Linked DNA regions of Anolis sagrei. The protein of the gene in region 3 interacts with the protein of the main gene of each other region in a pairwise test. Links are inferred from orthologs where the notes say so. Each region holds a gene or a part of one and is shown on either strand. Other genes may lie near its edges. The genes, in order: ZBED1, TRIM54, AIRIM and REL.

What was found.
Region 1: the proteins of AIRIM (region 3) and ZBED1 interact in binary tests that used the Homo sapiens proteins (3 or more experiments, as listed by UniProt). The two-hybrid records come from large-scale screens. The link is inferred for Anolis sagrei from reciprocal best matches to the Homo sapiens genes AIRIM and ZBED1.
Region 2: the proteins of AIRIM (region 3) and TRIM54 interact in binary tests that used the Homo sapiens proteins (3 or more experiments, as listed by UniProt). The two-hybrid records come from large-scale screens. The link is inferred for Anolis sagrei from reciprocal best matches to the Homo sapiens genes AIRIM and TRIM54.
Region 4: the proteins of AIRIM (region 3) and REL interact in binary tests that used the Homo sapiens proteins (3 or more experiments, as listed by UniProt). The two-hybrid records come from large-scale screens. The link is inferred for Anolis sagrei from reciprocal best matches to the Homo sapiens genes AIRIM and REL.

The regions. Positions count from the first base shown.
Region 1 is NC_090023.1:98,069,335-98,076,888, forward strand, and holds the start of ZBED1 (E3 SUMO-protein ligase ZBED1), read left to right. Parts: upstream 1-4,530; 5' UTR 4,531-4,611; intron 4,612-7,554.
Region 2 is NC_090021.1:828,752-835,641, forward strand, and holds the start of TRIM54 (tripartite motif-containing protein 54), read right to left. Parts: upstream 3,017-6,890; 5' UTR 3,014-3,016; coding exon 2,552-3,013; intron 1-2,551. UniProt on the Homo sapiens protein: May bind and stabilize microtubules during myotubes formation.
Region 3 is NC_090034.1:86,340,262-86,347,241, forward strand, and holds the start of AIRIM (AFG2-interacting ribosome maturation factor), read right to left. Parts: upstream 3,022-6,980; 5' UTR 2,725-3,021; coding exon 2,606-2,724; intron 1-2,605. UniProt on the Homo sapiens protein: Part of the 55LCC heterohexameric ATPase complex which is chromatin-associated and promotes replisome proteostasis to maintain replication fork progression and genome stability.
Region 4 is NC_090021.1:12,673,171-12,680,135, reverse strand, and holds the start of REL (proto-oncogene c-Rel), read left to right. Parts: upstream 1-3,955; 5' UTR 3,956-4,204; coding exon 4,205-4,211; intron 4,212-6,965. UniProt on the Homo sapiens protein: Proto-oncogene that may play a role in differentiation and lymphopoiesis.

The DNA.
Region 1 (7,554 bases), on a different chromosome or scaffold from region 3:
ACAGTGAATGATGCGGTGTACGAACTCTCTTAGGCTCCATCTACACTGCCATATAAAATCCAGATTCTCTGCTTTGAACTGGATTATATGGCATTGTAGAAGGGGCCTAAGTATTCAAAGGGATCTTGTAGCACCTTAGAATCATTAAGCTTATTCTACCAACTTCATTACCTCAAACTTTAAGTTGTTACAAGATCATTTTGCATATGGCTATTCCAGACTGACATGGCTGTTTCTGAATTCCCTCATCACCATTTCCCCTCAGCCCCCTTTTGCCAAAAAGTTTTTTTCCTTGCTTCCCTTGCCCCCAAAAGCCCATTTCCCTTGTCTCCCTCCCTTTGTCTTGTTCTCTTCCAAGCACTATTTCCCTCCCACCGCTCAGGAGGTGCTTTGTTATGTTTTCCCTCCATGGCAGAAGGAAGTTGGACTGAATGGCCCCTGGGGTCTTCCATAGAAATGCTTTAGGGGGCATGCTTGTCAAGTTTCCAGATTACACCAAATTAGGAGGGATACCAAATATTGCAGAGGACAGGATCAGAATTCAAAATGACCTTAAGAGATTAGAGAGCTGGGACAAAACTAACAAAAATGAATTTTAGCAAGAATAAATGTAGAATTCTACACGTTGGCAGAAAACAATGAAATGCACTAATACAGGATGGGCTGATGCCTGGCTGAATAACAATACCAGTGAAAAAGATTTTGGAGTCTTTGGGGACAACAAGTTGAATATGTGGAAACAGTGTGATGCAGCAATTTAATAAGACAGTGGGATTTGGGGTTGCATGAAAATAAGTATCATGTCTAGATCAGGCATGAGCAAACTTGGGCCCTCTGGGTGTTTTGGACTCAACTCCAGCTGTTAGGAATTATGGGAGTTGAAATCCAAAACACCCAAAGGGGCCAAGTTTGCCTATGCCTGGTCTAGATCAAGGAAAGCAATTGTGCCCATCTATTCTGCTTTGGCCAGGCCTCACCTGACATAATGTGTCCAATTCTGGGCACCACAGCCATGTAACCTCTAGTGACGGAGCTCTCCCAAGCTATGTACTTGCTTCTTATAGATGTGCAAACCTACCCAGAGTAGGTACACATAGCTTGCACAATTAGCAGCTCTCAGCATCCTCATACACCCTGGCTTTTTGGGTGATTAGATGGTGGAAACTGTGATTAAACACATCAGGAAGACATCCGATTGGAAAGGATGGAAAAGCTGTGCTTCACAGGAAAATATGGTATTACTTAATCATGATGCTTCAGAATTGCAGTATATTTCAGATTTGCATGTGTATGGCCTTCTATCCTTTGTATAGCTGCATTAAGACATAATCAATTGGAAGGGAAGACAGGTAGCAGTTCATGACCTTTTAGAAAATCAGGTGCTAGTAGCTTGTACCGGCCTTCCAGGCCCCTTTAGCTCATAGCTGACATTTACTGTTTGCTCAAACAGCCTTCCAAAAACATCCTAGGCTGGAGTGATGTTTGCAAAACAAAAAAAATGTGTGAGAGCCAACAGGCTTACCTTCTCAGTGAGATCTCGCTGCACATTTGATATATTTGCACATTCATAACTGCTTTCTTTAAATAGGAATTTTCAGCAAAGAGGAGAAATGAAACAGTTAGGTAAACAGTTATTGTTTCTTATAACTGTTTACCAATTATAGCAGCTAGTGAGTTCATTTATATCAAGACTGGGCAACTGATGTATTTTTAACGTACACCTCACAAAACCCGAAAGTGAGGACTGTGGGCTTTTGAGGTTTGAATTTCCATAAACTTGCAATGTTTGTGGCACGTGGGCATTGTTACACCCCTCCAATTATTCCTATCATCCCCCCCCCCCCCCGCACAGATTTATAAAACACAGTATGTATATGCACCCATAACCATTGGCTCAGCCAGACTTCTAGGAATTAATAAAATCCTTTCCTGCTTTGAGTAAGTTTGATTGAAAATGTGAGATGCTTAATTTGGGCCTTAGACCACCATTGTTATAACATACATACATATATATATATATATTCTCTCTCTCTCAACACATATGAAGAGACAAACAATGATACATTCACTCTGGACAAGTCACCTCTTATGTATTCTTTGCCTATTAAACCCATGGAGTGGCTATACATTTGTGGTCATCACTTGTCATCTGCTTTCTTTGTTTCCCTCCTTAGTAGTGTGATGGTCAACATTTAATTCTCTACTTCTTTATTTTTAATGTTAACTAATTTTTAAAAAACCCAAATTCTTTCTATGTAAAGACTAACAATGCATTGCCCAATCACATAGCAATGAGCTCCCTTCTCCTCAAATAGGACACTTCTGACTAGACATGAATAAGTACACCTCTCTCACTTGAATGGGAAATCTGTGTCTGTAAAACCATTCTCCCCAAATATGGCTTTACAGTGTTTTGGACTTCAGCTCCCAGAATCCCTGATCATTGGCCAAAGCAGCCAAAATTGATGTCCAATACACTTGGGAATGCATTGTGATGGCTGTGACCTCCTGTTAACTGATCTCCTTTCAAACCTAAAAACCTGGCTGTTTAGTGTGCCTTAGAGGAATGAATACAACCTACACCATGACCAGCTCAGCACAATATTCCCTGTGATGCACTTTACCTCACCCTTCAATGATAATCACCCCATTGCTGCTCTCACCTGAACCCCCCCCCCCCCCGCCCCGCTAACTAGGCATACTACCCTACTCATCCATCTCACCCAGGGTTTTTTATATTTTAATTCTATCTTTTTAACTTGGCCCAGCCCTCTGTGCACATTATTATTTTATTTCATTTCCTGTATTTGGTTTTGTATTAATTTGCTTTGTTTATATTTCATTTGATGTTATTATTTGCTGTATGTATTTTATTTTGATTTGTTGTAATGGCTGGGCTTGGCTTCATGTTAGCCGCCCTGACTCCCCGTTGGGGAGATGGTGGCGGGGTAGAAATAAATTATTATTATTTTATAATCACACAAAATCAGTAATGCAGAAATTAGCACAGTGGCAGAGTTTTTATGCAGTAGCTCCAATTATGCACCAGTAGAAGTGTCAGTTTCTTTCTGGTGCTTACAGGTGCATCTACAGTGTAGAATGAATGCAGTTTGACACCACTGCAACTGCTATGGCTCAATGCTATGGTATCAAGAAAGTTGTAGTTTCGCAAGGTCTTTAGCGTTCTCTGCCAGAGTTGGTGTTTCACCCACTTGTAAATCCCAGAATTTCGAAACAGTTAAAGTGGTACACACTGCATGAATGAATTGATGTGTAGTGTAGGTGTACCCTAAGTTTGGCATGCCTTTTTACTAAACCCTGTTAACCTTTCCTTATGCTATCCAAAACTTACACACACACCCCACACGGGTGTTAACCCTTTCCTATGCTATCCAAAGCTTATACACACACACACACACACACACAAACATCTCAAGGATGTTAACCCTTCCTTATGCTATCCAAAGCTTATACACACACACCATAGGGGTGTTAACCCTTTCCTATGCTATCCAAAGCTACACACATACATATATATTCATACATACACGTATATAAATGCACACACAAACATCACAAGGGTGTTAACCTTTCCTTATGCTATCCAAAACTTACATACACCCACCCACAGGGGTGTTAATCCTTTCCTATGCAATCCAAAGCTTGCTTTTATACACACAGAGACATACATGCTTTTATACACACAGAGACATAAATACACACCCTCGGGGGGGGGGGAGGGGGGGAGGGGAAATCCATCCCTAGATAGATGGAAGAGTTAACACGCCTGTGGTGTTCATAGGGAAGTGTTAACACCCCTGTGGGGTTTTTTTTTTGTTGTGTGTGCGCCTGTTCAGAAGATTTCACCTCACTTTCTGTCCCTGTGATAATTGGATTTAGAAAAAAAAAGGCTTCTGAAACAAGGATCGGTGAGCAAGCTTCAGCCGAGGCCCCCTTTCCCCCCGATAACTCTTTGAGGAGTGAATTTCCCTCCCTGGGGGTAGATTTCTCTCCCTTCCTGTTGTCTCGCCCCTTATTAACGCTGAGCTGTTTGGATGTCGGATGTTTGTAACTCGGGGACTGCCTGTAGGTGTTTCAATAAACAAACACATGATTTCAAGCAGAAGCTGGTGCATAATTAGAGCTGCTGCTGTGCCAAAAATCGAACTCTGTCGCTGCACATCTTCTGCTTTACTTCCCTTTTCTGTGCGTCTTCCGTGGGAGGGGAGGAGATTGCGCACAGAGTCTGCACATGCCCAGATAGCAGGGAAATCCCGGTCGCTCCGAGGAGGAGGAGGAGGAGAGGCGCGGTCCTCTTTGCCTTGCCTTGCCTTGCTTTGCTTCCTCTGGGCGCGGCGAGGCCAGGGCTGCCAGGCGCGCGCTCTGAAGCCCCGGAGGCGTGCCGTCCTCGCGCCGCCTCCTCCTCCTCCTCGTCGTGCCTCTGGGCTCCTTTCCCTTCTGCAGCACGGAAGAGGCGAAGCAAAGCAGCAGCGGGAGCCATGTCGCTATTGTCCCTGGCCTTGCCTGCCTTCTGGCTCTACTGGACCGCGACGCGCCTCGTCCTGCACCAGATCTTGCGCCGCTTCCGCCTGGGCTGCCCTTCCAAAGCAGGTTAGGAGGCTCCCCCGGAGAGGCTGGGAGGGAGAGGCCTTGGCTTAGGAGAGGGAAGCCTCGCTGGCTTCGCTTTCTTCCCCTCCCCACGCGTCCTTCCACCGTTGGGAGCCAAAGTTGAGCATTTGCGCTCGGAGGGAGAGGACAGAGGACACTCCTCCTCGCAAATGGAGGGGATCCGCTTCCCTCTTCCTGCCTAGATCTTGTGGCAGGAGCCAGGCGAGGCCAAAGGGCTCCAAGCTCCTGCCCAAGGCTCTGGCTCCTGGTTACTGGGGGCCCTTCCACACAGCCCTATATCCCAGAATACCAAGGCAGTTCACCCTCAGATAATGTGGGATTTCCTGCCTTGATATTCTGGGATATAGGGCTGTGTGGAAGGGCCCTGGGACTCTTCAGTTGCAGTGCCTTCGCTGGCTGTTTGTAGCCACCGATTTTCAACCCTGGGATACAACCGCAACCTCTATCGGTCCCCTGAGGTTGTTGCATTTGCCAGTCTGCTGCCCCTAGCTTACACTTCAGTTGTAGCTTGGTGGACATACAGTGAATGTAGCAAAACAAAAAGTTTTCAAGCTACATCCAAGTTTCTTGTAACTGCCATGGTTATTGCTGTTTGTGTGCCTCCAAGTCATTTTTGACCAATGGAAAAACTAAGCAGATGGGAGCTTGTATTGTCGAAGGCTTTCATGGCCGGAATCACTCAGTTCTTGTGGGTTTTTTCGGGCTATATGGCCATGTTCTAGAGGCATTTCTCCTGACGTTTCGCCTGCATCTATGGCAAGCTTCCTCAGAGGTCATAGATGGGAGCTTGTTCTTGGGGATTTGCCCATGTTTTCCTCTGAGGTTAAGAGCATGTGACTTGCCTAAGGGCACCTAGTGGGTTTCCATGACTGAGGAGGGAGTTACAACCTTAGTTCAATATTCAAACAACTGCACCAGAGCTTTCCGATATTATGTTGGTGACGCACTACATGCATCGCTTTGCGACACAGTGCTTCAGTTTTACTAGCAAACCAGAGGTTAACCCAAGCATGGGCAAACTTCAGCACCAGCTGTTCTGAATTGTGGGTGTTGAAGTCCAAAACACCTGGAAGGCCGAAGTGTGCCCATGCCTGGGTTAAACCAAGAGATCGGAACACGTACATAAATTATAATAATGAAATGTATGGGGACATGACTTATCATGAAAATCTTGCTCATATATATATATGATTTATTGATTATTTCACATGGACTCACCTTTCTTGTTTCATTCACTTTACACACCTACACGCTACAGCCAACATTCCAATGTGTCACGACACACCATTTGGAAGGCTCAGCACTATACCATGCTGGGTTATCACATGCCTTCAAGCAGACTGGCTTATGGTGACCCTATTATAGGTTTTTCTTTTGCTTTGCAGGGCATTGCTTTCCTTTGAGGTTGAAAGAGTATGACTTACCTAAGGTCACCCTATAGGTTTCCATGGTTGAGCTTTGGTCTCCTGGTGTCCTGCTCTAGCATTCAAATCCTGATACTACTTTGGTTCCCTTGGGTACCTGTCTATTGAAGAGTGATCCAGTAATCTCACTAGGCCTTATTACTCTAAAGAAAATGCTATCTATGTTTGTCACTTTTTTCATGTCAGGAGCAACTTGAGAAACTCCAAGTCACTTCTGGTGTGAAAGAATTGGCTGCCTGCAAGGACGTTGCCCAGGAGACACCTGGATGTTTTGATGTTTTACCATCCTTGTGGGAGGCTTTTCTCATGTCCCCACATAGGGAGCTGGAGCTAACAGAGAGAGTTCTCCCCAGATTTGAACCTCTAACCTGTTGGTCTTCTGTCCTGCTGACACAAGGGTTTAACCCATTGTGCCACCAGGGGCTCCATGTTTGTCGCTAACCATACCTATATATAGTTGGCCCTCTATATCCATAGATTCTGCATCCGCAATTGAACCATCCACAGATTTTTTTTTAAAAAAAAAAATCCAAAAATCAAATTGTGATTTTGCTGTTGCATATAAGGGACAATATTTTAATACACGATTATATATAATGAGCTTCTATGGATTTTTGTATCCACAAGGGTTCTTGGAACGCCAGCAGATACCAAGGACCCACTGTATGCACTTTCACCTTTGACATCATTGAAAAGTCTGTCAATTGCATTCGTGGACATTGATTGTTTGATTGTGTGTGTGTGTAATAAGTTTTTAAATAGCAGGTATTAGTGACAGATTGTGGTTTCCATGCTATTAGCTTCCAAGACATTTGCCAGAAGTAAAATAGGCAAGAGTTGTAACCTGGTGAAAGATTGCTTTTTGCAAAAGCAAGGATATCACTGTACTCCTCCGCTTAATATGGAAAGCTGAAATTGAAGCTTTCCACTCCAGTGCTTTAATATTAGGTTGGGTGGAGATGGGGTGTGTGAAGAAAGAATATATGCTGTTTTCAGTCCCTTGGAGGGAATTGGAAAATAAATGTAAGACATAATCTTTTGGAGTTGGTGAGAAGTTCAAGGTAAACATCTACACTCAGTTACTAAGGAATTGGAATAGAATCAGACACTTGGTTGGAAGAAATTGTATTAATCTCATAGGAATAATAAAGAGCCAGTGTAGTAATTTGAATGCTAGAATTATGGCACTGAAGACCTGAGTTTACTCATAGAAATCTGTGGGTTGATTTTTGGTAACTCTAAAACTCAGAGATAGGCAAAAGCAGAGTCACCATAAGTTGGAAATGACTTGAAGTTACATAGGAACAACAAGGCAGTGGTTGCATTGTCTGTGTAACTGTGGTTCTGGTCAAAGTTGCACAACAAGAACAAGATAGGAAAAGCTTAACAAATAATCTAGCCTGGTCCCAATATATCAAATCCTACAGGAAACTGAATGGCTACTTAGGGACTACATGGCTACTTAGGGACCTTCTAGACAGGCTCTATATTCCAGGATCTG
Region 2 (6,890 bases), on a different chromosome or scaffold from region 3:
AGAAGGAGCAGGGGAAAAGGGGCTGGCCCTCTGTCGGGAGGGATCGGGTGGAGTCCCTTGCAAGGCTAGTGTAACACTAGGGTTCTAAACAAGGTGCTCCTTGGCAAGACAGGCGGACCAAGAGGGTTGCTGAGCTGCCCCTTGACTAGAGCCCTAGCCTTGGAAGGGACACCACCTGATCCCCCCCAACAGACGGCCATCCACCTGGCCTCTGCTTAGGGGAATCCCTCTCCATGCCAGGAACTGCTGTGCTTGGGGGTATTATGGATCGCACAATATGTAACAATAGGATGCTCTCCTGATGTTTCACCTGCACCTGTGGCTCATGGCATCTTCAAAGGTGACACCACCCGAACCATCCCAACAGACGGCCATCCACCTGGCCTCTGCTTAGGGGACTCCCTCTCCACGCCAGGAACTGCTGTGCTTGGGGGTATTATGGATCGCACGATATGTAACAATAGGATGCTCTCCTGATGTTTCACCTGCACCTGTGGCTCATGGCATCTTCAAAGGTGACACCACCCGATCCCCCCCAACAGACGGCCATCCACCTGGCCTCTGCTTAGGGGACTCCCTCTCCACGCCAGAAACTGCTGTGCTTGGGGGTATTATGGATCACACCATATGTAACAATAGGATTCTCTCCTGATGTTTCGCCTGCACCTGTGGCTCATGGCATCTTCAAAAGTTTGTTGGAAGTGAGGCAAGTGGGGTGTATATCTATTTGTGGAATGATGTTCATGGCAAGAGAAAGAAGCAAGCGTGGATGTTGCAATTAGCCAGCCTGAATAGCACTGAGCAGCCAGGAAGTTGGGAAAGTCAGTCAGTGAGGGTCTTTTCATAGAGTTTGCCTGGGCTTTGATGAACCATAGAATCATAGAAGGGATCCCCCCTTGTGGTGCAGACGGTTAAACCGCTGAGCTGCTGAACATGCTGATCGAAAGGTCACAGCTTTGAATCTGGGGGCTGGGGTGAGCTCCCACTGTTAGCCCCAGCTTCTGCCAGCCTAGCAATTTGAAAACATACAAATGTGAGTCGAACAATAGGTACCGCTCTGGCGAGAAGGTAAGGGCAGTCCTGCCAGTGGCTTTGGAGGTGTCTGCAGACAACGTCGGCTCTTCAGCTTAGAAATGGAGATGAGCACCAGAGTCCCAGAGTCAGGCACGACTGGATTTAATGTTTCGCCTGCATCTTTGGCAAGCATCCTCAGATTGTGCGGGGAGGCTAACTTAACTAATTTACGACTCCATAAAAATCTCCAGCAAGCATGCAAAGAATGAGGAAGTACTCCATCAGTGTCACAAATGGACGGTGAAGCAACAGCTCCCCTGGTGGCCAGAATACCATCATGAAAAAGCTGGAATGTTAAATAGCCTCTGTGTGCCTTGCATACAGAGACCAGCAAAGTGATCTTGTTTACTGTGTACTCGTCTTGTTGTGTTTCAAAAAATAATAAATAGGCCAGATAAAGGTGGAGGGCGTCGATTCAGGGGAGGGCGGGGTCATCATCATCATCATCCTCATCATCATCTTCATTGTATTGTCGAAGGCTTTCATGGCCGGAATCACAAGGTTCTTGTAGGTTTTTTCGGGCTATATGGCCATGTTCTAGAGGCATTCTCTCCTGACGTTTCGCCTGCATCTATGGCAAGCATCCTCAGAGGGAGTGAGGTCTGTTGGAAATAGGACAATGGGTTTATATATCTGTGGAATGGCTGGGGTGGGGCAAGGAGCTCTTCCTTGCTAGAGCTAGGTGTGAATGTTTCACCTTCATTAGCATTTGAAGGTGAAATGCTAATGAGCCTGAGCCTGGGAAAAATCTCCTGCTGAGAGGTGTTAAGCTGTGCCTGGTTGTTTCCTCTCTGCTTCATTAGCATTTGAAGGCCTGCCTGAGCCTGGGAAATCTCCTGTTGAGAGGTGCAGCATACTCCACCACAGACATCAGAAGAGCTGCAAGACCACCGAGAAGAAGCCATGAGAGTCAAGCCACGAGAAACAACCAGGCACATAAAATCACTCTCAACAAAAGGTTCCCCCCAGGCGCTTCCAAGCCATTGAATGCAAATCAAGGTGATCAGCTGAAACATTCCCACCTAGCTCCAGCAGACAAGAGTCCTTTGTCCCACCCTGGACATTATTCCACAGATATATAAACCTATTTTCCTAGTTCCAACAGACCTCACTACCTCTGAGGATGCTTGCCATAGATGCAGGCAAAACGTCAGGAGAAAAATTGCCTCCAGAACATGGCCATATAGCCCAGAAAAACCTACAACAACCCAGTGATTCCAGCCATGAAAGCCTTCGACAATACATTGAACAAGGAAAAGCCTTAAGGCAGGTCTGGGCCAACTTCGGCCTTCCCTCCAGGTGTTTTGGACTCCAACTCCCACCATTCCTAACAGCCGGTAGGCTGTTAGGAATGGTGGGAGTTGGAGTCCAAAACACCTGGAGGGAGGGCCGAAGTTGGCCCAGGCCTGCCTTAAACCCAGTTAAGACCCTAAACATTTGGGGGGTGTTCCCTTGACCACTGACCCCTTGACCGCACCTGGAAGACGTCGTTGGCGCACTTTCGGCAGAGGTTGTGCTGGCAGGGCAAGATGACCACAGGCTTGGAGAACATCTCCAGGCAGATGGGGCAGATGAGCTGCTTCTCCAGGCTGTCCATGCTCTGGCCCGAGGGGCTCCCCCCGGTCAAGGACTTGAAGCCCCCCGGGAAGTTCATCCCAAAGCAGAAGCAGAAGGACGAGAAGGAGGACGAGAAGGGTCTCCCTCCACTCTCCTTCTTCTCCTCTGGCCCTTCTCTGGGGGGTATTTTTAGCCTCCCACGTGACCCCCAAGGCATGCCAGGCTCCCATTCCTGCTCGAGGTCATCCAGGAAGGGTGGGGCACCGAGGGTCCAGCTGTCGGCGGCATCAGGTGGCGCTGAGTCACTCGCCTCAAGGGGAGCGTGACGACGACACCCCTCTGGTGCAGACCCCCACCCACCAATCATCATAATCATCAACATGTGCTTTCTATTAATAGGGCCATGGAATCCTAGGCCTCTCCTCATGGGGATCTAGGCCAACCCTCTGCCATGCAGGAAAAGCACAGTCAAAGCACCCCCAACAGATGGACATCCAGCCTCTGCTGGAAACACCCCAGAGGGGGAGACCTCACTGAACCCCCTTCCCGCCTCTGGCACACAGCACTAACTCTAATAGATTCATAGTCCAGAGGAGGAGTTTTTAGTCCAAGAGTTTTAGAACTCCAATATGCTGATGACAACGTTGTCTCTGCGCATTCAGAAGAAGACCTACAACATCTGTTACAGAATTCCAATATGCTGATGACAATGTAGACTGTCCTCATTCAGAAGATATACAACATCTGTTACAGAATTCCAATATGCTGATGACAATGTAGACTGTCCTCATTCAGAAGATATACAACATCTGTTACAGAATTCCAATATGCTGATGACAATGTTGTCTGTGCTCATTCGGAAGAAGACCTACATCATCTGCTACAGAATTCCAATATGCTGATGAAAATGTAGACTGTGTGCATTCAGAAGATATACAACATCTGTTATAGAACTCCAATATGCTGATGACAATGCAGTCTATGCTTATTCAGAAGAAGACCTACAACATCTGTTATAGAATTCCAATATGCTGATGAAAATGTAGACTGTGTGCATTCAGAAGATATACAACATCTTTTATAGAACTCCAATATGCTGATGATAATGTAGTCTGTGCGCATTCAGAAGACCTACAAAATCTGTTACAGAATTCCAATATGCTGATGACAATGTAGTCTGTGCGCATTCAGAAGAAGACCTACAACATCTGTTATAGAACTGCAATATGCTGATGAAAATGTAGACTGTGCTCATTCGGAAGACCTACAACATATGTTACAGACTTCCAATATGCTGATGACAATGTAGTCTGTGCGCATTCAGAAGAAGACCTACAACAATGATGGGCAACCTTTTGAGCTTGGTGTGTCAATACTTCCAAAAAAAATGAGCATAACTCGAGAAGAAGAAGACCTACAACATCTGTTACAGACTTCCAATATGCTGATGAAAATGTAGACTGTGTGCATTCAGAAGATATACAACATCTGTTATAGAACTCCAATATGCTGATGATAACGTTGTCTGTGCACCTTCAGAAGAAGACCTACAACATCTGTTACAGAATTCCAATATGCTGATGACAATGTAGTCTGTGCTCATTCAGAAGACCTACAACATCTGGCTCATGTTCTCCTTCCTCTCGAGGACTCCCAGATCTTTCCCCACGCACTGCATCATCGTCCTCCATTCTGTCTCTTTGCGTTTCCTTTTTTCTGCTTACGTGGAGTCTCTTGCGTGTGTCCCTGTTGAACTTCACGGTGTTAATTTTGGCCCAACATCTGGAGATCCCTTTGAATTCTGCTCCTGGGGATGGATGCTGGTGGTGGTGATTGTTGTTGTTCATTCGTTCAGTCGTCTCCGACTCTTCGTGACCTCCTGGACCAGCCCACGCCAGAGCTCCCTGTCGGCCGTCACCACCCCCAGCTCCTTCAAGGTCAATCCAGTCACTTCAAGGACGCCATCCACCCACCGTGCCCTTGGTTGGCCCCTCTTCCTTTTTCCTTCCATTTTCCCAAACATCATTGTCTTCTCTAGGTGACCTCCTGGACCAGCCCATGCCAGAGCTCCCTGTCGGCCGTCACCACCCCAGCCCCTTCAAGGTCAAGCCAGTCCCGTCAAGGATGCCATCCATCCATCCATCTTGCCCTTGGTTGGCCCCTCTTCCTTTTTCCTTCCATTTTCCCCAGCATCATTGTCTTCTCTAGGTGACCTCATGGACCACCCCATGCCAGAGCTCCCTGTCGGCCGTCACCACCCCCAGCTCCTTCAAGGTCAATCCTGTCCCTTCAAGGACGCCATCCACCCACTGTGCCCTTGGTCGGCCCCTCTTCCTTTTTCCTTCCATTTTCCCCAGCATCATTGCCTTCTGTAGCTGACTTCATGGACCACCCCATGCCAGAGCTCCCTGTCAGCCGTCACCACCCCCAGCTCCTTCAAGGTCAATCCAGTCACTTCAGGGATGCCATCCCTCCACCTTGCTCTTGGTCGGCCGCTCTTCCCTTTTCTTTCCATTTTCCCCAGCATCATTGTCTTCTCCAAGCTTTCCTTTCTTCTCATGATGAGGCCATCTTGGCCTCTACTATCCTTCCCTCCAATGAGCAGTTGGGCTTTAATGTAATGTTCGTTTGTGGGATTAACAGAACTCAAAAACCACTGGACGAATTGACATCAAATTTAGACACAAGACACCTAATAACCCAATGTATGTCCTTCACTCAAAAAATTGATTTTGTCATTTCGGAGTTGTAGTTGCTGGGATTTATAGTTCACCTACAATCAAAGAGCATTCTGAACTCCATCAATGATGGAATTGAACCAAACTTGGCACACAGAACCCCCATGACCAACTGAAAATACTGGAAGAGTTTGGTGGGCAGTGTCCTTTGGTTTTGGAGTTGTAGTTCACCTACATCCAGAGAGCACTGTGGACTCAAACAGTGATGGATCTGGACCAAACTTGGCACGAATACTCAATATGCCCAAATGTGAGCACTGGTGGAGTTTGGGGAAAATAGACCTTGACATTTGGGAGTTGTAATTGCTGGGATTTATAGTTCACCTACAATCACAGAGCATTCTGAACTCCACCAGCAATGGAATTGAACCAAACTTGGTAGACAGAACTCCCATGACCAAACAGAAAATCCTGGAAGAGTTTGGTTGGCACTGACCTTGAGTTTGGGAGTTGTAGTTCACCTACATCCAGAGAGCACTGTGGACTCAAACAGTGATGGATCTGGACCAAACTTGGCACGAATACTCAATATGTCCAAATGTGAACACTGCCGGAGTTTGGGGAAAATAGACATTGCCATTTGGGAGTTGTAGTTGCTGGGATTTATAGTTCACCTACAATCAAAAAGCATTCTGAACCTCACAAATGATAGAATTGGACCAAACTTCCCACACAGAACCCCCATGACCAACAGAAAATACTGTGTTTTCTGATGGTCTTTGGTGACCCCTCTGACACCCCCAGGTTGAGAAACTCTTGGCATGAAATGCAGGGGGTCCTGAGCACTGCCAGAAACGCAGACGTGGGCTTTGTTGACCAATGTGAATTTTTTTTGGGGGGGGGGGCTGGCCAGCATGGCTTCCTTCATTCCAAAATAGCACCAGCCGCCAAAGTGACCGCAGCACCGAAAAAGGCCGGGCAGCAGGAGAGAGACAACAATAAATAGCCAGAGGATTCTTTCCAGGTGAATGGAGGGGGGGGGGGTCACTTTACCCCTCCCCCTTTCCTCTGTCAGGACACAATGGCCTCCTTGCTTTTCCCCTCACGTCCTGCAGCGTCCAGGGGTCCGGCTGCTGGGCTGTATGGCCATGCTCTAGCAGCATTTTCTCCTGACATTTTGGCTGCACCTCAGGCCCCTTCCTTTTCCCCCTCAGCCGCTTAAGCGGCTGAGGGGGAAAAGGAAAGGGCCTGAGGTGCAGCCAAAATGTCAGGAGAAAATGCTGCTAGAGCATGGCCATACAGCCTGAGGAAAGGGCCTGAGGTGCAGCCAAAATGTCAAGAGAAAATGCTGCTAGAATCATAGAGTTGGAAGAGACCTCGTGGGCCATCCAGTCCAACCTCATTCTGACAAGAAGCAGGAAATTTGCATTTAAAGCACCCCCAACAGATAGCCATCCAGCCTCTGCTTCAAACCCTCCACCACACTCCAGGACAGAGAGTTCCACTGCTGAACAGCTCTCACAGTCAGGAAGTTCTTCCTAATTTTCAGGAGGAATCTCCTTTCCTGTAGTTTGGAAGAAC
Region 3 (6,980 bases):
TAGGAGATGTCTACAGACAACGCCAGCTCTTCGGCTTAGAAATGAAGATAAGCACCATGCTCCAGAGTTGGACTCGACTAGATTTAATGTCAAGGGGAAACCTTTACCTTTTATGTTTTAATATATGCTTTTGTAGCTGCATTTTAACTATGTTTCAATATGGGATTTGATAGATCTGCCTGTGTTGTGCCCCGCCTTGGATTAAAAGGAGAGACAGATAATACAGTAGAGTCTTGCTTATCCAACATAAATGGGCTGGCAAAACGTTGGATAAGCGAAAATGTTGGATAATAAGGAGGGATTAAGGAAAAGTCTATTAAATGTCAAATTACATTATGATTTTACAAATGATGCACCAAAACATCATGTTTTACAACAAATCAACAGAAAAAGCAGTTCAATACAGAGTAACATTATGCAGTAATTACTGTATTTACAAATTTAGTACCCAAACAGACAAGGGTTCTTTTTTTCTCCCACCCTGGACATTATTCCGGGCGGGAGGCAGACTGCGTTGGATAATACAGAATGTTGGATAAGCGAAGACTGGATAAGCGAGACTCTACTGTAAACCAAATTAGGACACTATGTAACACAATTTTCAGTTTTTCAGTGACTATCTCATCATAAGAGTCTCAACCAATTTCAACCTATTTATTTATTTATTTGCTGTATTCGTATACCGCCCTTCTCAACCCTCAGGCAACTCAGGGAGGTTTACAGTGGCAACAATTCAATGCACAAAACACCATAAAACATTTAAAAACATTAACACATAATATAAAACTATAACAAGAGTATTAAAAACATAGATCATTTGCGTCTCCTAATAAAATCACTGTCCAATCTCGTCGTCCAGTCATTCTAATTCTTATGTCTTTTACCTTGCATTTTCAAATGCTTGCTCAAACAACCAAGTCTGGACACTTTTCCAAAATGTTAAGAGAGAGGGGGCCGATCTAATGTCCCAAGAAGGGCGTTCTATAGCCGAGGGGCCACCACTGAGAAGGCCCTGTCTCTCGTCCCCACCAAACGTGTTTGTGACGCAGGCGGGATGGAGAGCAGGGCCTCCCCGGACGATCTTAAAGTCCTGGCAGCCACAAAAATGATGTTTCTGGAGTAGAACTCCTTTGAAAATAATGATCGCATAATGAAACAGGAAATACCACTTTTGAAGCAGAAATAGACAATATTTCAATTTTTATTACATCTTTATTGGAAAAGTACAGCAGAGGCCCCTTCTACACTGCCATATAAAATCCAATTATTTGCTTTAAATTGGATTATAAGGCAGTGTAGACCAGGTATGGGTAAACTTGGGCCCTTGGTGTTTTGGACTCCAACTCCCACCATTCCTAACAGCCTCAGGCCCCTTTCCCCCCCAGCCACTTAAGGAAAGAACCTGAGGCTGTTAGGAATGGTGGGAGTTGAAGTCCAAAACACTTGAAGAGCTGAGGGGGGAAAGGAAGGGGCCTGAGGCTGTTGGGAATGGTGGGAGTTGGAGTCCAAAACACTTGAAGAGCTGAGAGGGGAAAGTAAGGGGCCTGAGGCTGTTGGGAATGGTGGGAGTTGGAGTCCAAAACACTTGAAGAGCTGAGGGGGGAAAGGAAGGGGCCTGAGGCTGTTGGGAATGGTGGGAGTTGGAGTCCAAAACACTTGAAGAGCTGAGAGGGGAAAGTAAGGGGCCTGAGGCTGTTGGGAATGGTGGGAGTTGGAGTCCAAAACACTTGAAGAGCTGAGAGGGGAAAGTAAGGGGCCTGAGGCTGTTGGGAATGGTGGGAGTTGGAGCCCAAAACACTTGAAGAGCTGAGGGGGGAAAGGAAGGAGCCTGAGGCTGTTGGGAATGGTGGGAGTTGGAGTCCAAAACACTTGAAGAGCTGAGAGGGGAAAGTAATGGGCCTGAGGCTGTTGGGAATGGTGGGAGTTGGAGTCCAAAACACTTGAAGAGCTGAGGGGGGAAAGGAAGGGGCCTGAGGCTGTTGGGAATGGTGGGAGTTGGAGTCCAAAACACTTGAAGAGCTGAGAGGAGAAAGTAAGGGGCCTGAGGCTGTTGGGAATGGTGGGAGTTGGAGTCCAAAACACTTGAAGAGCTGAGGGGGGAAACGAAGGGGCCTGAGGCTGTTGGGAATGGTGGGAGTTGGAGTCCAAAACATTTGAAGAACTGAGAGGGAAAAGTAAGGGGCCTGAGGCTGTTGGGAATGGTGGGAGTTGGAGTCCAAAACACTTGAAGAGCTGAGGGGGGAAAGGAAGGGGCCTGAGGCTGTTGGGAATGGTGGGAGTTGGAGTCCAAAACATTTGAAGAACTGAGAGGGAAAAGTAAGGGGCCTGAGGCTGTTGGGAATGGTGGGAGTTGGAGTCCAAAACACTTGAAGAGCTGAGGGGGGAAAGGAAGGGGCCTGAGGCTGTTGGGAATGGTGGGAGTTGGAGTCCAAAACATTTGAAGAACTGAGAGGGAAAAGTAAGGGGCCTGAGGCTGTTGGGAATGGTGGGAGTTGGAGTCCAAAACACCTGGAGGGCCCAAGTTTACCCATACCTGGGCTACATTGCCTTATAATCAATTTCAAAGCAAATAATGTGCCTAGATAGGCTCCCTTGACTAACTCACCTGCCTTCCGCCTTCTTCCCTTCCTCTAGCCGCCCCGGGGCCTGACGGGAAATGGAGTCCCACCGCCCTCCCGCCTCCTCCGATGGGCGTGGCTTGCCCTGGAGTGACGTCACAGGCATCTGCAGGCGGGGACTCCCTTCTCTCTGTGGCCAGGCTCATAAAGAATCCACATTGCTTGAACTTCAAAAGCTTGGATCCAACATTGTTCTTCCATTCAGGCAAAGGGCAGGAAAGCTGTATTCTCTTGTCTCTCCCTGCAGCTTCCTGAACCAGATTTGAACACCTTTGCAAAAAAATAAAAATCAGCCAATCCCATTTCATGGAGCATCCTAGGCTGCAAATGTGAGAAGACAAGTGGGAATGTCAGCGTTGTCCCATTTGTGGAAAGAGCCTTCAAGTCCAATGGAAAGGCAGGCCTGAGGAAGCCAGATAGTGCACTTCTAAGCATCCCCTGCCCTTACCTGGGCCAAGCTGGGCACCTGCAGAGTCCCACTGGGAAGACAGGTCAGGATTTGAAATGAAAATAAAGTATATTATACACATATAATATTGATAATATTATAATGTAATGCAACATAATACTAATAATAATGCAATATAATAATTATATATTTATATTACAAGTAATATTACTAATAATTTTACAGTATAGTGGTATAGTACAATATAGTAATATATAATACTGATATTGTGCTGTGCTAATATATTGTATACACATATAATATTGATAATATTATAATATAATATAATACTAATAATTAAATTTAATAATTACATATATATATATAACATGTAATATTACTAATGATATTACAATGTTGATCCAATTCCGAGCACAATTCAAAGTGCTGGTTTTGACCTACAAAACCCTATATGGTTCCGGCCCAGCGTATCTGTCCGAACGCCTCTCCTTCTACGTCCCGCCTCGGAGTTTAAGATCTTCTGGGGAGGTGCTGCTCTCGGCCCCACCTCTATCACAAGAGAAATTGGTGGGGATGAGGAGCAGGGCCTTCTCGGTGGTGGCCCCTCACCTGTGAAACTCACTCCCCGGAAAAATTAGGTCATTGACATCCCTCCTCGTCTTTAGAAGGAAATTAAAAACATGGATTTGGGACCAGGCCTTCGGGTTATCTGGCGGATAGATAAGGGGCAAGCAACAACTAGAATTGCTGGATTGGACAATGTGGAATTTGAATTTATGGACTATGAGCTGGTAAACGTTGAGCACTAGATTGTTTTTAGGGATTGTGATGTATAATGGATTGTTTTAATTGTTTTAATTACTGTTTATGTTTTATTTTTTACCTTGTTGTTGTGCCGGCATCGAATTGTGCCTTTTTGTAAGCCGCCCTGAGTCCCCCCTCGGGGGTTGAGAAGGGCGGGGTAGAAGTGCGAGAAATAAATAAATAAATGTAGTTGTATAGTACAATATGGAAATACATAATACTAATAATGTGCTATGCTAATAATATAATATATTATATGTACAAATAATGTGTAAGCCGCTCTGAGTCCCCTTCGGGGTGAGAAGGGTGGCATATAAATGTCGCAAATAAATAAATAAAATTAATATGTATTTTGAGTTGAAATTCACAAGCATGTGGACAATTTCAACAGAAAGGAGGAAACCATGAAAATAAACAAAGTCTGGCTACCAGTATTTAAAAAACTCTAAAATCAGGACAGTAAATGAAGAGCAACACTCAAAAAAACAGAGGAATTCCAGATAAGAATCAATCAGGGCCAGCTAACACCTCCCAACAAAGGATCCCCAGGCAGCAACCAGCCAGGCTTTGAAGCTGCAAGGCCATTCAATGCTAATCAAGGTGGCCAATGGCAATAAAATTCACACTTGCCTCAAGCAGACAAGAGTTCTTTCTCCCACCCTGGGCATTCCACAGATCTATAAATCTCGCTTGTCTAGTTTCCAACTGACATCATGACCTCTGAGGATGTCTGCCGTAGATGTGGGTGAAACGTTAGGAGAGAATGCATCTGGAACATGGCCATACAGCCTGGAAAGCTCACAGCAACCCTATGTCATCATACTCAGAAAGAAAGAGCTCAGGTGACGCAATGGGTTAAACCCTTGTACTGGCAGGACTGCTGACCAATAGGTCAGAGGTTCGAATCTGGGGAGAGCAGGTTGGGCTCCCTCTGTCAGCTCCAGCTCCCCATGCGGGACATGAGAGAAGCCTTCCACAAGGATGGTAAAGCATCAAACATTCGGACATCCCCTGGGCAATGACCTTGCAGACGGCCAATTCTCTCACACCAGAAGCGACTTGCAGTTTCTCTATTCACTCCTGACACACACACAAACACACACACACAAAACCCTCAGGAGCTAACTGCAGAGTCAGAATGACAAGTTTCCGAGGATGATGAAACCAGTGTGCAATGCCTAATGTCTGGTGCAACCACGGTGCACTGTTGGGACACCATGTATGATGCAATACAATATGTGATTGGCCAGATCTAGGATAACAGTGGGGCAGCTAGCATGATGACTGTGGATGAGTGTTTATGCTGGTGTTGCTGAATGTTACAAAGACGTTGGAAATAACCTTCAAGCCTCCACTAGTAATTTGTTTGTATAGGTTTCCATTTGCTTACTGTGTTGTATATGTATGTTTTGGTATGCAGCTTTCCCTTTACTCTGTTTCTTGAGGTTGTGGGACCACATGATCAGTTCTGAGACTGCTCAGACCTCAGACTCCATTACACTCTCAGACTGTTAAGACTACCTCTTACCTGCTTGACTTTGGACTGTTAAGAGACAACTCATGTTGTTGATTGTAAGAAAGATGCCCTGTGTTATCTGCACAGAGTAACTACTTCAAACCTATCTATAACTTGACAAGTTATGTACCTATATACTGAATACATGAAGGTTGTGAGTAAACCAAATGTTACTTTTAACAAAGTCCACTTTATTTTTGTCTCTTCAGAGAATGATATCGAAACAAGATGTTTTATGGGAGAGTAGATGTTTTTAGGCACTGAAAAAAATACTTCTGAAGAATGGCTATATTTTACGCATTGGCGTTGCTTCTGTTCCTAACAGATAAAAGAAAACCAGGTTATCAGCCTAACAACCAAAATGCTTTGCATAAGTACATGTGGTTATATCCCACACAAGAGAAGATTTTACTCAAATGATACATTTTTTTGTTCTTCTCTGGAAGATCATAATTTTACAAAAGGTTATTTTTAAAATGGTTGGAAAACCAGGGAGATTCTGGTTTTCCAAAATAAGAGAGATCTACGTGAGAGAACTGCTGTGAAGATTGCTGAGGGGAGAAAGTGAGAGGACTTGGTTTTATACAAAGCTTTGCATGTATGCATTGTTGGAAGATAAAAGACTTCTTGAATGTGGAAAGAAACTTCTGCCGTCCTTGCCTGTGATTTCTGTTCGAATCCGGTACTAACAGATCACTAGGATATTTAGAGAACTCCCATCACTCATAGATTGAGCTTAACACGCCAAACAAGACAGGCCTTTGGCAGCAAGGCCCAGGCAGAGGGCAAGAGCCTGGCACCAGTAACTCCTGGCCAGCCCTTCTTTTCTTTTCTTTTCTTTTCTTTTCTTTTCTTTTCTTTTCTTTCTTTCTTTCTGTCTGTCTCTCCCTCCTGGGGAGGGGGGGCTCAGGGACCCTAGTGCTCATCACCTAGAATCATGGAAGAAACCTCATGGACCATCCAGTCCAACTCCCTGCCAAGAAGCAGGAAAATTGCATTTAAAGCCCCCCTGACAGATGGCCATCCAGCCTGTTTCAAAGCCTCCAATGAAGGAGCCTCCATCACACTCCAGGGCAGAGTTCCACTGAACAGCTCTCTCCATTAGGAAGTTCTTCCTAATGTTCAGGTGGAGTCTCCTTTCCTGTAGTTTGAAGCCATTGTTCCATGTCCTAGTTTCCAGGGCAGCAGAAAACAAGCCTGGTCCCTCCTATGACTTCCCTTCACATGTTTATACATGCCCTTCATCATGTCTCCTCTCAGCCTTGTGTTCTGCAGGCTAAACAAGCTCAGCTCTTTAAGCCACTCCTCATAGGGCTTGTTTTCCAGACATCTCCCTTCAATTACAGTGTCCAGAATTTGACACAGTGTGATTCCAGGTGTGATCTGACCAAGGCAGAATAGTTGGGTAGCATGACTTCCCTGGATCTAGATAGTATACACCTATTTATGAAGGCCAAAATTCAATTGGGTTTCTTTGCCGCCGCATCACATTGTTAGCTCATGTTCACCTTCCTCCCCATGAGGACTCCAAGATCTTGTTTACATGTACTGCTGTAGAATCAGGCATCTCCCATTCTGTATCATGGCATTTCAGTTGTTCTGCCTAAGTGGATTATCTTGCATTTGTCCCTGC
Region 4 (6,965 bases), on a different chromosome or scaffold from region 3:
GGAAATGACATTGATAACCCAGGAACAAAAATTGTGTTATTAAATGCTACCTCAGCCCTTTGGATGTTGTAAAACACTCTTATGTTTTAGTGCCTTCTTGGTTTAATTCACTCTATTTTATCATAAGTGTGATATGTTATGTTACGTTTTATCTGCGTCTTAATTTTTGTTATATTTTGGTTAGTCTTAAATAGTCTTGTAAGTTTATTTCAAGGTTGTCTTATTTATTGTATTTTTACTCTATGTAATATTTAATGACAGGGGCCACGATGGTGCAATGGGTTAAATAATTGAGCTGCTGAACTTGTTGTCCAGAAGGTTGGCAGTTCAAGTCCATGGGTGGGGTGAGCTCCTGCTGTTAGCCTCAGCTCCTGCAACCTAACAGTTCGAAAACATGCAAATGTGAGTAGATTAATACTCCCAACTATGAATAGATTAATAGGTACCTCTCCGGCAGGAAAGTAATGGCGTTCCATGCAGTCATGCCGGCGACATTGAAATGGCAGGGAAACAGGTTTTGAGGAAAGGAGAGATAATTACCAAGAGACATCCTTTCTGGAGATAGAAAAGAACGACTTTATTTCCAGCTGGTGACTCTGGTATGGACTCATGTCCCAAAAGTAAAACCCAGAGCCCCGATCAAGGTGCGGACTGCCCTTTTATAGTCTCCAATCCTCATCAACATGACCTTGGAGACGTCTATGGACAACGCCAGCTCTTTGGCTTAGAAATGGAGATGAGCACCACCCTCCAGTGTCATGGCGTTATGAAGGTTGAGAAACCCTGCTTTAGGGCTTTGTAGGCTAAAGCCAAAACTGGCAGCCAGTGGAGCCGACGTAACCAGTGAGTAATCTGGCTGCTGGCCGTTGGACCAATTGAAGCTTCCGAACAGTCTTTAAAGGCAATCCCACATAGAGAGCATCGCGGTAGTCCATATATTTCCTTTTTCCGATTGACTGAATAGAACTATGAATCTGAAGCTAAAAGACAGAGTCACCCTTGAATTTCAGGCAAAGGCAAATTGTGAAATCCATAATTGCTTGAAGAATGTTTATGAGGACACTGTAATGGACATCAGCAATGTGCGGCATTGGGTGAAGAACCATATGTCCATTTATAACGTTTTTGACACAAGAGGCAAAACATTTTGACCCACCCCCGTATTTATTTAAGTTCAAATTTTGGTTATTTTTTTGGTTGTTTTGTCATTTAGTGTGGAGATTATTTTATCTATTGTTTGATTTGCTTTGTGTTTGTTTTCGGCACTGGATGTTTGCCGTTTTGTTACTTTGCTGGAAACCGCTCTGAGATAGGGAGTGTTATAAATACAGTATTATTATTATTATTATTATTATTATTATTATTATTAATTATTTGATACATAACAATATTAGTACACAGCAAACAAGATCACTATGTTGGCTTTTGTATTTGATCACACGTCCAACACTTCCCAAATGTCTAGGACTGTGTGATGTATAGGCGAATAATGCGTTCAGATCCAAGTAGGATGGCCTCTTGCAGATGATAGATGGTAATTTTGTCAGCACCTATTGTCTTCAAGTGCTGGCCAAGGTCTTTAGGCACTGCACCCAGTGTGGCGATCACCACTGGGAACACCTTGATTGGCTTGGGCCAGTGTCGTTACAGTTCAATCTTTAAATCCTCATATTATTGTTGTTGTTGTTGTTGTTATTATTATTATTATTAGCTTGTTTTGGCATTGAATTTTTGCCTTATTAAGCATTATGGGCAAAGACTTTCATGGCCGGAATCAATGAGTTGTTGTGTATTTTCTGGGCTGTATGGCCATAATTCCAGAAGCATTCCCTCCTGATGTTTCGCCTGCATCAATGGCAGGCATCCTCAGAGGTTGTGAGGTCTGTTGGAAACTAGGAAAATGGGGTTTATATATTTGTGGAATGATGTCCAGGGTGGGAAAAAAAACTCTTGTCTGTTTGAGGTAGGTGTGAATGTTGCAATTGGCTGTCTTGATTATCATTTAATAGCCTTGCAGCTTCAAGGTCTGGCTCTTACTGCCTGGGGGAATCCTTTGTTGAGAGGTGATGAACTCTCTTATTGTTATTACGGAATCCTGGAAGTTGCAGTTTGGTGAGGTATTTGGGGGAACTCTTTTTCTGTTGGAGGTAGGTGTGAATGTTTCAATTGGCCACCTTGGTTAGCATTTAATGGCCTTGCAGCTTCGAGGCCTGGCTTCTTACTGCCTGGGGGAATCCTTTGTTGAGAGGCGTTATTATGGAATCCTGGAAGTTGCAGTTTGGTGAGGCATTTGGGAGAAAGAACTCTTGTCTGTTGGAGGTAGGTGTGAATATTTCAACTGGCCACCTTGATTAGCATTTAATGGCCTTGCAGTTTCAGGGTCTGGCTTCTTACAGCCTGGAGGAATCCTTCGTTGAGAGGCGATGTGCTGTCTTATTGTTATTACGGAACCCTGGAAGTTGCAGTTTGGCGAGGCATTTTGGAGAACTCTTGTCTGTTGGAGGTAGGTGTGAATGTTTCAATTGGCCATCTTGATTAGCACTTAATGGCATTGTAGCTTCAAGGTCTGGCTTCTTACTGCCCGGGAGAATCCTTTGTTGAGAGGTGTTATTACGGAATCCTGGAAGTTGCAGTTTGGTGAGGCATTTGGGAGAACTCTTTGTTTGTTGGAGGTAGGTCTGAATGTTTCAACTGGCTACCTTAATTAGCACTTAATGGCCTTGCAGCTTCAAGATCTGGCTTCTTACTGCCTGGGGGAATCCTTCGTTGAGAGGCGATGAGCTCTCTTACTGTTATTACGGAATACTGGAAGTTGCAGTTTGGTGAGGTATTTGGAGGAACTCTTTGTCTGTTGGAGGTAGGTGTGAATGTTTCAATTGGCCACCATGATCAGCATTTAATGGCCTTGCAGTTTCAGGGTCTGGCTTCTTACTGCCTGGAGGAATCCTTTGTTGAGAGGCATTATTACAGAATCCTGGAAGTTGCAATTTGGTGGGGCATTTGGGAGAAAGAACTCTTTGTCTGTTGGAGATAGGCGTGAATGTTTCAATTGGCCACCTTGATTAGCATTCAATGGCCTTGCAGTTTCTTACTGCCTGGGGGAATCCTTTGTTGAGAGGCATTATTATGGAATCCTGGAAGTTGCAATTTGGTGAGGCATTTGGGAGAACTCTTTGTCAACCAGGCACATCTTAACACCTCTCAACGAAAGATTTTCCCAGGCCCAGGCAGGCCTTCAAATGCTAATGAAGGTGGTCAGTTGAAACATTCACACCTAGCTCTAGCAGAGAAGAGCTCTTTGCCCCACCCCAGCCATTCCACAGATATATAAACCCATTGTCCTATTTCCAACAGACCTCACTACCTCTGAGGATGCTTGCCATAGATGCAGGTGAAACGTCAGGAGAAATGTCTCTAGAACATGGCCCTATAGCCCAAAAAACCCCACAAGAACCTAACTCTTTGTCTATTGAAGATAGGTGTGAATGTTTCAATTGGCCACCTTGATTAGCATTCAATGGCCTTGCAGTTTCTTACTGCCTGGGGGAATCCTTTGTTGAGAGGCTCAAGAAGACTATGGTAAAACTATAACTCCCAGCCTCCCACAGCAGCAAGCAACTGGCAAATGCAAGTGGTCTGGAGCTGAATCCTTTCTCGAGTGGAGATGCACCAAAAGAAAAGAAGTTGGGTGAAGTTTGAGAAGGTGGGAGAGTGGTGGGCGCGCCTTTGAAGAGGGGGCTCCCCAAACCTGACCTTAAACCCTCAAAGGTTAGAATGCCCTCCCCCCCTTTTTTTGGAGGGGAGTGTGGCTTGGTGTGACGGGGAGTCACGCTCTCTCAGCCCCTCCTACTCCTCTCTTGCCTCTCTCTCTCTGTGCGCCTTATCTCCTCCTTGGCGCACCGGGGTTTTGGTGGTGGGAGGTGGGAGGGGAGACCCACGAAGAAGACGTCACGAGGAGGACGTCACAGGGTGGAAATTCCCCGCCGGATTGTAGGGGGAGCGGGGCGGAGGCTTCGAGGAGGAGGGAGGTCTCCAGCCAGCGCCGCCTCCCAAGGAGGGAGCCTCAAAACCTGCCCCAACCAGGAGGCACTCTTGCCCAGGAAGGAAGACACTCAGAAGGACCAGCTGGATCCCAGGAGAGGCACCCCAAGCCGGGCAAAGAGCTCTTCCCCTTCTCCACCGGGTCCAGGGAGGACAAGCCACCATGGCAGGTAAGCAGGAGGGAGATCTAGTCTTACCCAGTGGAGGGAACTGCATCCAAACTCATAGGAATCCAAAGGTAAAGGTCCTCCCAGGTTGGAATCTTCTCTCTTGGAGGTCCCAACACAGTGACACTATCTATGGCAGGTCTGGGCAAACTTCTGCCCTTCCAGGTGTTTGGACTTCAACTCCCACAATTCCTAACAGCCGGTAGGCTGTTAGGAATTGTGGGAGTTGAAGTCCAAATCACCTGGAAGGGCAGAACTTTGCCCAGGCCTGATCTATACTGAGTTGAAATCCAAAACACTTGGAGGACCAGAGTTTGCCCATTCCTGATCTATGGAGTCATGGAAGATTAATTTCCAAAGGTCTTTAGACTTCCCTAATTTCTCTAAATTAGACTTCCCTAGTTATAATAATAATAATAATAATGAACTGCAAAGACTCTGGCACAAGCCAGTCAAGGTGGTCCCAGTGGTGATCGGCACACTGGGTGCAGTGCCTAATGACCTTGGCCTGCACTTAAACACAATCGGCACTGACAAAATTACCATCTGCCAGCTGCAAAAGGCCACCTTACTGGGATCTGCACACATTATTTGCCGATACATCACACAGTCCTAGACACTTGGGAAGCGTCCGACGTGTGATCCAATACAACAGCCAGCAGAGTGTCTGCTGTGGACTCATCTTGTTGTGTTTCAAATAATAATAATAGGGTTGTTGTAGGTTTTTCGGGCTGTACGGCCATGTTCTAGAAGCATTATCTCCTGATGTTTTGCCTGCATCTATGGCAAGCACCCTAATTGAAAAACTAGAGAAAAATGAGCTATGGCAGGATGGCACCTCTTGCAAAAACAAACTTTAAGAAACTTCCCCCATGTTTTTATGAAAGAACCAATTAGGAAACAACAGTGATAACCCAGGAACAAGACGTAATTATAGTTGTTATTGGGTTGTTGTGAGTTTTCTGGAATGTATGGCCTTGTTCCAGAAGCATTCTCTCCTGACGTTTTGCCTGCATGTATGGCAGGCAGATATATAAACCCCACTTTCCTAGTTCCCAGCAGACCTCACAACCTCTTGAGAATATATAACCTCTGTGAATATATATATGACAGATATATAAACCTCACTTTCCTAGTTCCAACAGACCTCACAACCTCTGAGGATATATATATGGCAGATACATAAACCCAACTTTCCTAGTTTCAAACAGACCTCACAACCTCTGAGGATGCCTGCCATAGATGCAGGCAAAATGTCAGGAGAGACTGCTTCTAGAACATGGCTATACAACCTGAAAAACCTACAACAACCCAATGATTCCGGCCATACAATAATAGCCTTCGACAATACAATAATAATAGGTTTTTCCATGATATTAAGTCCAGTTGCATCTGACTCTGAGGGTTGGTGCTCACCCCCATTTCTAAGCCAAAGAGCCGGCATTGTCCGTAGACACCTCCAAGGTCATGTGGCCGATATGGCTGCATGGAGCGCCGTTACCTTCCTGCCAGAATGGTATCTATTGATCTATTCACATTTGCATGTGAACTGCTAGGTTGGCAGAAGCTGTGGCTGACAACGGGAGCTCACTCTGCTCCCTGGATTCGAACCTGTGACCTTTTGGCCAACAAGTTCAGCAGCTCAGTGCTTTAACCCACTGCGCCACCTGTGGCTCCAATAACAACAACAACAACAACAATAATAATAATAATAATAACTATTATTAACCAATTAACTGTAATGACCAATTCGGAAATGATATTGATAATCCAGGAACAAAAAATGTGTTACGTAGTATAATAATACTAGTATGTTGTCGAAGGCTTGCATGGCTGGAATCACTGGATTGTTGTGAGTTTTCTAGGCTGTATGGCTATGTTACAGAAGCATTCTCTCCTGACATTTTGCCTGCATCTATGGCAGGCATCCTCAGAGGTTGTGAGGTCTATTGGAAACTAGGAAAGTGGGGCTTATGTATCTGCCATACACACACACACACACACCCTAAGGGGTTGCGAGTTCTGTTGGAATTAGGAACGTGAGGTTTATATATATCTGCCATATATATACCCTCAGAGGTTGTGATGTCTCATGGAAACTAGGAAAGTGGGGTTTATATATATCTGCCTGCCATAGATGCAGGCAAAACATCAGGAGAGAATGCTTCTGGAACATGGCCATGCAGCCCAGAAAACTCACAACAACCCAATAATAATAATAATAATAATTATTATTATTATTATTATTATTATATGCAACATGATATCTTGTTCCTGGGTTATCAATATTGTTTCCTAATTGGTTCTATCATAAAAAGATGGGGAAAGATTCTTAAAGTTTGTTTTTGTGGGAGGGACATCCTGCAATAGCTCATTTTTCTCTAGTTTTTCAATTAGTATCTTCATTGAGTCTCAACCAATTCAACATACTTTGTGGCAGCCACAAAAACCAAGTTTCTGGAGTATAGCAACTACTTTCAAAGTTAGTGCTGCACAACGAAACAGGAAATAACACTTTCAAACCAGGAACAGAAACTTTTTCAACTTTTGTTACATAGTGTCGTTGTTGTTGTTACAGTAGAGTCTGGCTTATCCAACATAAACGGGCCGGCAGAACTTTGGATAAGCGAAAATGTTGGATAATAAGGAGGGATTAAGGAAAAGCCTATTAAACATCAACTTATGCTATGATTTTACAAATTAAGCACCAAAACATTATGTTTTACAACAAATTGACAGAAAAAGCAGTTCAATACA